Linked DNA regions of Nothobranchius furzeri. The protein of the gene in region 3 purifies or fractionates together with the protein of the main gene of each other region. This does not show direct contact. Links are inferred from orthologs where the notes say so. Each region holds a gene or a part of one and is shown on either strand. Other genes may lie near its edges.

What was found. Proteins that work in one complex are often made in the same cells at the same time.
Region 1: the proteins of pfdn5 (region 3) and pfdn6 purify together in Homo sapiens (affinity purification with mass spectrometry; 5 studies listed by BioGRID and IntAct, with this or other methods). This does not show direct contact. The link is inferred for Nothobranchius furzeri from reciprocal best matches to the Homo sapiens genes PFDN5 and PFDN6.
Region 2: the proteins of pfdn5 (region 3) and vbp1 purify together in Homo sapiens (affinity purification with mass spectrometry; 7 studies listed by BioGRID and IntAct, counting the BioPlex papers as one, with this or other methods). This does not show direct contact. The link is inferred for Nothobranchius furzeri from reciprocal best matches to the Homo sapiens genes PFDN5 and VBP1.

Annotation. Positions count from the first base shown.
Region 1 is NC_091741.1:28,885,127-28,889,178, forward strand, and holds the start of pfdn6 (prefoldin subunit 6), read right to left. Parts: upstream 2,801-4,052; 5' UTR 2,679-2,800; coding exon 2,615-2,678; intron 2,493-2,614; coding exon 2,422-2,492; intron 2,344-2,421; coding exon 2,219-2,343; intron 1-2,218. Other genes in the region: mmgt1 (ER membrane protein complex subunit 5), read left to right, coding at 3,245-3,323, 3,584-3,636, 3,714-3,817. UniProt on the Homo sapiens protein: Binds specifically to cytosolic chaperonin (c-CPN) and transfers target proteins to it. Binds to nascent polypeptide chain and promotes folding in an environment in which there are many competing pathways for nonnative proteins.
Region 2 is NC_091742.1:80,080,558-80,084,847, forward strand, and holds the start of vbp1 (prefoldin subunit 3), read right to left. Parts: upstream 2,801-4,290; 5' UTR 2,763-2,800; coding exon 2,646-2,762; exon of another isoform or gene 2,527-2,645; intron 719-2,526; coding exon 594-718; intron 454-593; coding exon 387-453; intron 1-386. UniProt on the Homo sapiens protein: Binds specifically to cytosolic chaperonin (c-CPN) and transfers target proteins to it. Binds to nascent polypeptide chain and promotes folding in an environment in which there are many competing pathways for nonnative proteins.
Region 3 is NC_091743.1:50,185,884-50,189,860, forward strand, and holds the start of pfdn5 (prefoldin subunit 5), read right to left. Parts: upstream 2,801-3,977; 5' UTR 2,786-2,800; coding exon 2,612-2,785; intron 2,417-2,611; coding exon 2,314-2,416; intron 1,770-2,313; coding exon 1,738-1,769; intron 1,456-1,737; coding exon 1,381-1,455; intron 1,292-1,380; coding exon 1,186-1,291; intron 1-1,185. UniProt on the Homo sapiens protein: Binds specifically to cytosolic chaperonin (c-CPN) and transfers target proteins to it. Binds to nascent polypeptide chain and promotes folding in an environment in which there are many competing pathways for nonnative proteins.

The DNA of each region.
Region 1 (4,052 bases), on a different chromosome or scaffold from region 3:
GGTCTGAGTTACATTTCTGTAACCCTGCTGAAGGAGTCATCACCTGAAGTTTTCACCTTTCCACTTGAAAAAAATCCATATAATGTCTTCCTAATGAATTTTCACTGGCCGGGAAGCCAGTTTGCTGCTAAATAAAATAGCCAATCGTAGTTGAGTCCTTCTAGCCAATCAGAGGCGAGAAAGGCGGGATCTTTCATGGACACCCTACGGTTCCAAATGACACGCCCAGCACAGCCGAAATATCGCGTGTGCTCTTGTGAGAAAACCTGTCCTTTACAAAAAAGGGTCAGAAAAGCACTTTTTTAATTAATTTTCCAATACAAATGACTTTCATGGCCTAAATAATATAATGTGATGTAGATATCCACGGTAGTAACGGGTGATGACTCCTTTAAGGGTCATTCTAGCACATACTTACTCAAGAAAATGATTAAAAATATGAAAACTTTACATCGTATCCCTTTAAGGTACGTTTCAACATAAATGATTGTGTGTCCGAAACAGAATGCCTTGTAGGAAAATTATTTTTGTTGTTGATTCGATCCAGCCGTCACATTTTTCTGATTTTTCAAGCTCCACTCTCAAAGATGGAGGTTGAGGATTAGGAGGAGAGGAGGAATAACCAGGATAACTGAACCTGAACGGGAGGTGTTCCTGCTCCTGCTGAGCCAGTGTGAAGGCGGTGTGAGCGCCATGGCTTCTCCAAAGTTTAGCAGGTTTTTCATTTGTCTCATTGCTTTTGTATTTTTCAAATTTTTTTGTTTGTTTGTTTCCAGGTTTAAATATGCGATTGTCTCTGTGTCCAATACAATTAATCCTTCGTTCGGCTGACAGCTGGGATTAGTCAGCATATTTTAATATGTGACACATTGGGTGTCGAGTATCAAAATACATAATCCTCACAGTCAGAAATATGGAATTTGTGTTTTTTAATTTTAATTAACTCACAATCTCTGGAAATATGTAATGATGAGAATAACAAGCAAAATTAGTAAAACTATTATAATTCTGGATTCGATTGTTTTTTTTTGTATTTTCTGATTTTGTATTTGATTCATTTAATTCCAGCAGCAGGTATTTACTCAGATTTACTGAAACATTCCTCTCTGGTTCTAACTGGGAATGCCGGTTTTCCAGTCTAATTCTCCAGTAAAACAAACTGCTGGTCTTTGTGGATGAAGTTTTCCGTTCCTCTCCAACTTCATCTCTTCAGTGCTGCGTTTTGAGTGGAAAAGTGACACGCAAAAAATATGCTTCCGTCAGTGCACACTCAAGAGGTGAAACGTATCATCCTAACCACCGCCATGCTAGAACCCGGAATCGCTTAGTGAAGGATTCGGTTATGTCAAACACGCTAATTTAAGAAAGTCCCTTCATGTTCAACTAAAAATGAGACTTCCTGGTTAAATAAATGGTTTTAAAAGCGACTGTCAGCAGCTTCAACCCACAAGAAAATAAGGAACTATGGTGGATCCTGTTTAACTCACTCACTGCGCTGTTTTCTGATCAGAAATCCCCTGGCTGCCAGCGTTTTTGAGCGTTTTTACTGATTTTGAAGAGTCAGAACGTTGTGCTCTATGATCATGCAAACGCCAAAACTATCGAAAGAAAGAGTAGACTCACTTTTTACATCAGGAAGAATCACCGTGTTTCTAGCGTTAACCATTCTTTCACAATCTGTTGTCCAAGTGTGAGCTGCAGACGCTTTTCTGGTTAGCGCCTCGCTTTTTTCACAGCAGCGTCCCAAAACAATATCCCAATTCATGGATTTTCTCCTTCCTGATCAGGTGACGTGTGACACACGGACTAAGATCAGCTTTAGAGACGTCATGTTTACTCTCATGGTGCGGGGGCTCGATCCCACGCCCACCCCGTTAAAACAATGCAACTGACAGCTTTAGTTGTCAATTGCAGCGAGCCACTGGATTTAAAATGACGTCTTTAGCTGTCAATGGCAATAAATGATAAGGGCCAACTGTTTTTTTAATATTCGCATTAATTTGATGATCTCATCTCTGCGTCTGGCATTGCTCAGAATTACATTTTATGTTTGTTTCCATTAAGATTCCTGCCTGAGTCTGAGTAAAATCAGGGTTTAACCGGCTTCGTCCACCTGAAATTGTAAAAACAAGATCAAATCTAACCATCTTTCACCACTGTGACACAGACATTGGTGTGCAGGTGAGCTGTAGAACAGTAAAGCAGCAGCTTGACTTACACTTCCCCGTTGATGTACTCCAGTCTTTTAGCCACGGTGGCTTTGGCCTCATCCAGATCTTGTTTCACTAAAACAGGACCGATAAGTTTATAGATGGTGTTTGAGCTGTCGAGCAGATCCAGCTCCTGGAAACACAGGCGAGTCATGTCTGGATTATTACACACAAACCGTTGTGATATACAGCCATACAGGACTGAAGTTACCTCTTTAACAATGTTGTTCTCTGTCAGCTGCGTCTCCAGTTTCTGTCTGGCTGACATGTTCTTGCTAACATCTGAAAAAACACGCAGGTGGGTTAAAAAACTATTCTTATGGCCAAAAAGCTAACGTTACTTCATGCACACATAGCGGCTACATGCCCTCTAAAACTTGTGATAGCACATAAAGAAAACCCACCTTTCTGCATTTGTGCATACTTTTCTACTTCCGCTTTTAATTTCTTCTGAATGGCGTCTGCCATGTTTGCTTATTTTATCTTACACAACTGTAAAAGTTTAATTATTGTAACAGAGCGCTTAGCAAGGCAACATGAGAGAACAGCGCTAGCTAACAGGAAGAAGCTACGCAGAGACCGGATGTAGTGGAAGATTCAGGGCACACTCGGATATTCTGGTTTTAAATCGAGGTCAGAATAAAATTATGTGTATCTGGACTTATTTTGACGCAAACGCTCACTAAACCATGAAAAGCTCTTTCTAGTTATACATCTAATCTTCAATTTTCGATCAAATATATTGGTTGGAGATCAATGAGTTTGGTTAGAAACATGTAATTTAGGATGTGATTCGAATGCACCATTTGACGTCTGACAGCTTTCTTTGGGTATTTTCAGCTCACAAAAATCTAAATAGAGGGCAAAAACACATAAATAAAATGATTTTACAGATATCAGGCTGCGAATAATAATATTTAACGAACATAAATAATCATTTGGCAGGTAGGTTTTGGTTTTGACGCAGTGACAGTTGCGTCAGTTTACGACTGTTTTACGACGGTGCCCACAGTCCCTCTGAGCCCTGCTTCGAGATGGCTTCTTCGTTTTGGAAAGGTGTTGTCGGCATCGGACTCTTTGCCTTGGCCCACGCAGCGTTCTCGGCAGCACAGCGTGAGTTTCAGCGCCAAGATGTTAGACCGATGTTTTCCTGTGTTGGTTAGTTCTGGTTGGACTGAGTCTCCACCGAGTGAAGGACCGCGGGGCCTGTGGCCACAGCAGCTTAGCTAGCTCCGCTAGAGCCTCCAACGGAGGAAGACTTTAATCTGTACCTGCTCGCTTCTGTGTGACTGCCGTCGTTTAATGTTTGGATTAAGAGTATTCTGTGAGTTATTGTCGATATTACTCTGATTAAATCCCAACTCTCCCATCAGATCGGTCATACATGCGGCTCACAGAGAAGGAGCACGAAACGCTGCCTATCGACGTGAGTAACCCATCTCTGGTCTTCAGAGAGAGCCCTGCTTTTTATTTGTCTTCACCGTCGTCTTGCTCCCACCACAGATCGTTCTGCAGACATTATTATCGTTTGTGATGACCTGCTACGGGATCGTTCACATCGCTGGAGAGTTCAAGGACATGGACGCGTCCTCGGAGCTGAAAAACAAGTGAGTAGATTCCCTTTACAGCCTCCGGTACCGGATCTGTTTGTGACCCGGTTCGATTTCAGCTCTGTGGAACATCCCTCCACAGGGACACTCTCAACTCCCATAAGGCAGTTCGGCAGATACACTAGTTAGGGATGGACAACCACCAGAGCTCTGTTCGACGAGACTAACATCTCTCGGTTCTTTGTCTTATTTAGGTTGAAAAACACTAATTTGTTGAAACATCTCATTATTC
Region 2 (4,290 bases), on a different chromosome or scaffold from region 3:
TTTAATGTTTAGAGCAGCAGGAACTCCGAGAGGCTGCAGGCGCATCAGTGAGTTTGCACCGCTGCGCAGGGGGAGAGGGCTGAAGCAGAAACTACCGTTGTTAAAAGAAATGTGTTTAACTTTGAAAATGTGGGCGCAATTCTAATTGTCAAAAACTCCAGCGAACCATTAGTTCATTTTGCTCAAATAGAAATTGAGGCCTGCCTCTAATTCTGGTCCTCCTTCCAATAAAGGCCTGGAGCTTGATGAGCTTGAGTCAAATACAGACCCGGGCCTGTATTAGAGGATTTACGGTAGCTTATTTCACCCATCCCTATGTTGTCATTCTAGAGGAACTGGAGAAGACTCACTTCCAGTATGGAGCTGGTTTACAGAACTTCACCCACCTTTTTCTTCTGCATGTGTCGTAGGATTTCTAGCGTCTGTGTGATCTGTGGAATCTGGTTTTTCAACCTATTAAATAAGAATGATTTTAGTTAAATAAATAAGCATCCAGCTTTCCTACTTTACAGATCTACCAGGTGCACACATATCAATTCATGCACGTATTAATGTAACCCGAATAACTCGTAGTGTTTGTATTTCTGTTTTACCGGAGTTTCTTCTGGGACAGGTTGAGCTCCATGTACTTATATTTCTGGTACTGCTCATCCAGCTTCCTCAGAGCAGAGTCTGCCGTCTCGTTGCCAGGCAGCTTCATAAAAGAGTCGACATCCTCCTGGAAAACAGCAAACAGGGATTAAAAAACAGAAAGGCCTATATAACTACTCCACAAATGAGACTTTCAATACCACAAAGTCAAATGTCTAAAGTCTCAGTGAGATGTGTTTGCAGCGCCGTCTGGTGGACAAAATATGAAATTACACTTTTCTGAATTGGCCTTTGTGTTTTTAACATGGAAGCACAAATAAGGTCTTACCATTTCCTAAAATACTTTTCCGTTTGTTATACCTATAAGTTCAAAGTCACAATAAATGAAACCATAAAACAGGTTAGTGAGAATTAAAACCCTAAATTAGTGTCAGATTAAACAAATAAATGTAACAAACCAAAAAAATTACAAACATTTTTATAAATACAAATATAATATAATCTTTTGTTTAAAATAAATATGATCTTTTAGCTTTTCTGTTAAAAATGAGAAAAAATGTGTGATTTAACAGTTAAGTACTTTTCACAGAAAGTTTTGATTGAACAGTTTAAATTTGATTTGACAGCATCAGAAGTAAATCGCCTGGGCACTGGTAAAAAAAAAAGTTACTGTATTCTATAAAATGGTTTGATGCACAGATAATAAAAGAAAAAATCTATTTATCTCATTACATTAATGCATTTGTTGTGTTAAAGACAAAGACAAAAGAAAATGAGAATTTCTATACTCATGTAAGGTGCTGTAATCTGAGAATGTGTCCAGGTGTAAACCTTCCTCCTGCCATGAAGAAAAATCACTGAAGTAATTAATAAATTACCCAAATTGTTAATATGATGCCGTTTATCCACTCATCGTAACCAAAGAACATCACCTACAAATCTGGTAGCATTACAAGTATCTATAATTTGATTTTTAACCCTTTTAGTCTGTCATTGGTATTTTTCATTCATTTACACATTAAACATAATGGTATTCTGAACTTTTGATCTAATTGTGACATTATTGTTCACTCCAATGCGTGTTATTTTCCCTTCATATTAGGGCTGAAAATGAACTCAATAATCAAGCCTCAATATATTGAGGTTAAGAAATGTACAATTATTATTGAAGTGCAGTTTGGTTCTTGACACTGGATAGGCCATTGTATTTGTTGTTTTGGAGACGGGGTCTACGTTATTGTTTTTGGTGCAATATTTTCTAAAAGAGTGAAAGCACTTTTATATTTATTTATTTTTTGTTTGTTTTATTTATTTAGAAGTTCAGGGTCTGGACATTCCCATGTTAAATAAAGGTTTAATTGTTGCATTTTAATGGGTGTCCTTGCATTATTATGATATATTAACATTACATAAGTGGTTATTTTGGTCTTGATAATGTCAACAATAATATCATTTATCGTCAATAATTTGTTGGACAATATATCGTCCAACAAATTCTGTTATCGTCCCAGGCCTACTTTCTATCTTTATTTTTCTGTTTTAATTTAAATGAGAATCGAATCAAGATAAATTGGCCAGATTATACAAAAATCTCACATTTTTAATACCATCTCAAAACATTAGCAAAGTTAATATCATTAGCAGATTAAAGTGGAAATCTTTCAATGTAATATTTAAAAAAATCGCTGAGCTGTGCTCGTTAATGCTCTCTATGACAGGGCACGTCAGACAAGATGCTAGTACTGTTCTGAGTAATGGACAAGCTAGTTAGCTAGCTAGCTAACTAAAGACACAGTTGACTCTGGCAGGTAAGTCCAGCTGAAGGACCTCAGAAACACCAGGTGAGCTGAATATTACAGGCAGACAGTGATGTCCATAGATGGAAGCGAGCAGCCGCCCAACATGCACACACAGCAGGACACTCTGTTAGCTCACCTGCTAACTTAGCCTCCTAGCTGAGTCAGAATTGCGCCGCTGACAAACCGGTCACACCAAATATACATTACATCCGTTACAAACATGTAACACCGTCAGAAGCGTCTGGTTATACGCACCACAAACACTGCTTCGGGGATACCGAGGTGCTTTTTTTTGTTCGCCTGTGAAGCATTGCTGTTGTCTATGGTCGCCGTCATGTTGGAGAGGCTTCTTTCGTCCTGACGCACGCGCATGCGTACAAGAAGTCGGAGTGGTAAAGGGGAAGCTCTGCTGCCTCTACTGGGGACCCACTGAGACTACAACATTTTCTGTCCTTTTTTTTTTTACCTCCACCAAGGAGGTTATGTTTTTTACAGTTATGCAAAAGGAAATCCGCTTGGATCTTATTTTGAAATTTGCCAGATGCTTTACACAATTAGCCACACTATACTCTGTGTTTGATTCCCTGTCTTGCCAGGTTTGAACTACTGATCTTGATGCATACTGGAAGCATAGTACATAAATGTAGACTTGGCATGACACTACACTTCTGGGACGCATCTGAAATGTACCGGTGTGTGCCCAGTGGAGACAAAGTGGAGACAAAAAGAGACTATGATGGTGGCTATTAACTGTATGTTGCCCTCACGCACTGAGTAGAAAGCCAGAGTTAGTGCCTTGTTCACACTTGATAAAAGAGATAGGCAGATTAATTGTGTTTCTTCTGCAGGACTGATGGCATTGCTGGTAAATGAGCTGAACTAAAAAGGTAGAGGTCTCAAGTAACTGGTTCAAAACAACAGTAGAACTCAGGGCTATGTTTACAGTGAAAGTAAGAGCATTCCCATACCAACAACGTGAAGGGAACTCAAGGGACTGCAACAGCTGTGTACCCATAAGAAAATCACTAATCAGTGAGGCTAACTGGTAAAAAAGGCTTTACTTTGCTAGGGAGCATGAAGATTGGACTAGTGGAAGGTCATGTGGTCTGATGAGTCCAGATGGACCCTGTTCTAGTGATGGGTTCATCAGGGTAAGAAGAGAGGCGGATGAAATAATGCACCCATCATGCCTAGTGCCTACTGTACAAGCCTGTGGGGGCAGTGCTATGATCTGGGGTTGCTGCAGTTGGTCAGGTCTAGGTTCAGCAACAGGATGTGCTCCAAGAATGAGGTCAGATGACTACCTAAATATACTGAATGACCAGGTTATTCGAACTTCCCTGATGGAACGAGCATATTCCAAAATGATAATACCAGGATTCATCAGATAGTGAAGGAGTAGTTCACACATCCGGAAACAGCAGGAAGGAAAATATGTAAAAGAACCCTTATTCATAATCAAAAATAAAAACTTGAATCATTAAAAATTTTCTCTGATCGGCAGCAGACACAGGCCTGCTGTGTGAGGCTAAGTAGCTCAGAACCAGACTGGTAGGGAGGAAGAGAGCATCTGGTCTGATAGGAGAAACAATCTGCACATTAACAATGAAGGTAAAAGAAAATAAAGGAGATATCATGGAAGATTTTGTACCTATTAAATGGAAAACTTTAAGATGTAATGTTAATAATTTAGGTTGACTGGATATCTTGATACGTGTGTGCAGAGGTGGGAAAGGAGTAAACTACTTGACTCAAGTTTAGTTTGATTTTTTTTTTCCAAGTTTCAAGTTTATTTATATAGCGCCAAATCACGACAAGAGTCGTCTCAAGGCACTTCACATGGTAAACATTCCAATACAGGTCAGTTCATTAAGCCAATCAGATAAACGTTTCCTATATA
Region 3 (3,977 bases):
ACAATGTTTATGAATGGTGAAAATTTTGTAATCGTTTATTACAAATCAGTAATTGCATTTTGTCCTTAAGGGCTCCCGTAGAAGGAAACATGGCATCTAATATGGTGTCGCCCAGAGACTTAGGCCCGGCCCCAGATTTATATGGTTATATGTTGAGAAGCCACCAATATTAATCAACTACTGGGTATCATTTACTTTGTCATTGTCAACATTTTTTCATTTCTTTCTTTATTGAACATGTAAATCAATAGACAAATTAAAGTATTCAAAAAGGAACCCATACATATGTATATGCATATATATATATATATATATATATAGAAACATGTTCAATAGGAAGGGAAAAAAGCTCTGGTAGCTTGTATAATCACCCCCCCCCCCCCTCCCAAAATCAAATTTCAAGGAAGATAAAAACAAAAAAATTCTCTTCCCTACACTGTCATAGCCATTTTCTTATAACATGTTTTATCCTCAATCACACAAGCAAAATTTACATTTTTTATGTTTCCCCCCCCCCCCCCCCCCCATATTCACAGCTCCCAGTTCATAGACAATTACAATCAAATGCAGCACCCTTACAACTTTTCCTCCTCCTCCATGTGATTAGTTAGTATAATTGTTTTATACTTATCTTTAAACGTATGCAATGAGGGACTTTGCTTTAGATCCCCACTTAGCTTATTCCAAACTCTTACACCCGTAACAGAAATACAAAATGACTTTAATGTTGTTCTAAAATATGTATGCCTAAAGTTACGTTTGTATCTGAAATTATATACGTTATCTGGTTTTATAAATAGCTTAATTTTGAAGGATATTTCCAGAGATTAACGATTAAAAACTACACACTGACCCTTTTATCTTTTATCAAACATGTGTTTTCACATCTGTTCGCAAATTCTTAAACAATCAGATCTTCACAGAATTCATAAAACATAATCAACGTACATGTGTCTCAAACTGTTTAACATTCTGATTCAACTGACACCACAGCTAATAAACAATAGCAAACACAAAACTGACTATATAACTCAGTCGGTTTACAGCTATTGAGATCAATTAAAATGTTAGTAGTTGACAGCAATTAATTCCCAATACATAATCAAAGAGCTAACAGATTGCAGAACATCTATAAATGCTGAAAAAAAAAGATTTTAAATGTCAAATTCACACAATTAACCTTACCTTGTTTCACAGCATGCTTTTCCTGAAGAGCCGGCTGAATTTTCTCCATCTGCTTTGTGAGAAAGTCTATTTTGCGCTTAAAGAAAGCTTTTGAGTCCTCCACGTTCTAAAGAAGCAAACACGCATGTTTAAATAGCTTCTTCTTAATTAAAATCTGTTTTATTTATTTATAATATATATCTAAATATATATTACCTTTTCAACATAATATCCTGTCCCCACGTCAACTAGGACATGTTCCACATCACTTAATGTTCCAGGGACATACATCTGAAGAGAAAACTGTAAAGGACAAACATGCTAAAAGAATCCACCTTCACTAAGATGCTAAGTTGTGTGAATAAATGTATGATTTTAATGTGTAAAGATGTTAAACAACGTGTTGCTGAAGAACTGTTTCAAGTTAGAAAAAAGAAACCGAAAGTAGATGGAAGATAGTAAATAACACAACGATGGACAAAACCTTACAGCTCCTTTCACCTGGATGTTTCATATATGTATTTTATGCCAGTGGTTAAATAAAATGAATGTTGGATAATTTAAAAAGGATACAGAGCTTGTAAGAGGCACCAGCAATTCCTTTCCTGTTTGTGAGAAAAGAAATGGGTCACAATCCAAATAAATAGGCAACTCTTTCTCCCTCTCCCAGCCTGGGCGGGACTGACAGGTGAAGGCACAGTGAAGGAACCATTTCTAGGAGTCACTGTGCTCTCCAACCCATTAATGTCCCTCCTCTGTCCCCCATGCGGCTGCACGCACCTGAGGAAAGTCCCAACCCTACCTCCCCACCTAGTGGACACTTATGTTGTGTAATGTCTGAAGTCTGTGTGCATATCTCCTCATATAAACCCTCTTGTGCGACCAATTCTTGTCATGTATGTATGTATGTATGTCTGATCTCAGAATTGTGTGTACTGAAACTCTAATTTCCCTCTGGGATTAATAAAGTATTATTAAACTGAATTGAATTACTTTTTAAACTCTACATATCACCAGACCACAATGAAAAATCATAATCGTACCGATTGTTTTAAATGTCATTCTTTTATAGTAGTAGTTCTTGTGAGAGGTATGGATAAACATTTCGGGAGCCAACAGTTTGTGTCAGATTGTGATTTAAAAACGCACCTTTATTGTTTTGGTTCAGTACATTCAAGCTGTCTTTCGCGTCAACATACTTGGCCTGGACAACTTTCAACTGACTTATCGAAGACGTCAAGAACTCAACCTCCTGAAAGAAACATCAAAATGTACAAAAAGATTCAACCCGGGACAGAAACACCGTTAGCAACACCACCGGTTGTCTACGGCACAGAACGCTAACGGGGGTGTTTAGCCCGCATCGGTCTCCTATTTAACAATACCTCGTGCATTTAGCTACATAAATACAAATACTTCCAATACAGCATGTTACTGATGATAATACCTGATCCAGTTGGGTTTTTAATCCTTCTAACTGAGGCATGGAGAGGTCTGAAAGATTCACCGCCATGTTGAAAGCGTGATGACCAACCTGCACTGACGCAGTTCTGCTTCCGCCTAATACGATGGAATACGGTCTCATTACCGCCCCCATGTGGACAAATGTAAATTTGTCCATGACGCAACCGGAAAGAAATGTACCTCTATGGCCATCTCTTTCATCCTTTTACAGACGTTTTATTTTTAAAGGATACACATTTTTGTTTCAAAAATAAGTAATGCATTTTGATGTAGCAGTAAATGTTTAAGTTATTAAATAAAAATAAAAGTCAACCAAATTCACAAAAATAACAACAAATGCAGTTGTTTTTAACTTTTTTTTGTCTAAATAAACTTTTAATATACAGTTATTTGTAATCGGTAATTTGACTTGGTGGCAACATATTCTGTTTATGGGAGTTTATATGAAATATTCCCCTAATAATGAATGCAATAATAAAATTCATTTTATAAACTATACACTGACTCTGAATTTATACGAGGTGTGTTTTTGGTCCCTGAATAAGCAAAGGACCCTAGAATCTTCTGATTAAACATTCAAAGATCAATCAGATTGATATTTCATATTTGTATGGAATATCACATCTTATTGGTCATAATTAATATGTGTTAATTGCTACATTTTATTTAAATGAAAATTCCTTCTATCGAAGTAATTGAATAAAATCATAATTTTTGTTCGAGCATCTGTGATCTAAAAAAAAGAAAGATACACCGTCAATGTCATCATTTTCACACCAGGTAGATGAACTGGGTCTTTTTCATTAGAACACAATTTTTTTTCAATCCTTAAGAAAACCTGCTTATCTATGTTTAATATGTATATATTTAAATATACAAATTGATTTGTGATATTTTAAAACAACCAAATTTAATCAACTTGAGTCATAAAACACAAAACCTTTCAAACATGAGCTGCATATCTATACTTTTACTGAGTCATGTTTTTTATTTTGATTCCTTTCATATCACAGATGTTCCGTTTTCTTCATTTTTTAGCAACTAATGGAAAAATTTGTGAAGCCATTGCTAACCAGATGTAGTGCCACCAAACAGCCACAGGAGGACGACATTTGCACAACAGAAAGTTCACGTTCACTTGTGTCACTGTGGTTAAAACTCAAAACTAAGGGACATAAATACTAATTGTACTTTCTGTGGGGATCATCCAGAAACTGTGACACATCTTTTTTGGTGCTGTTCTTTTACACAAAGATTCTGGAAGGAATTTAGCAGGTTTGTTACTGTCCATATTTTAAGGGAGTTTTCTTTACGATGGGAAAATGTTTTATTCTGTTTCTTTAAGTTCC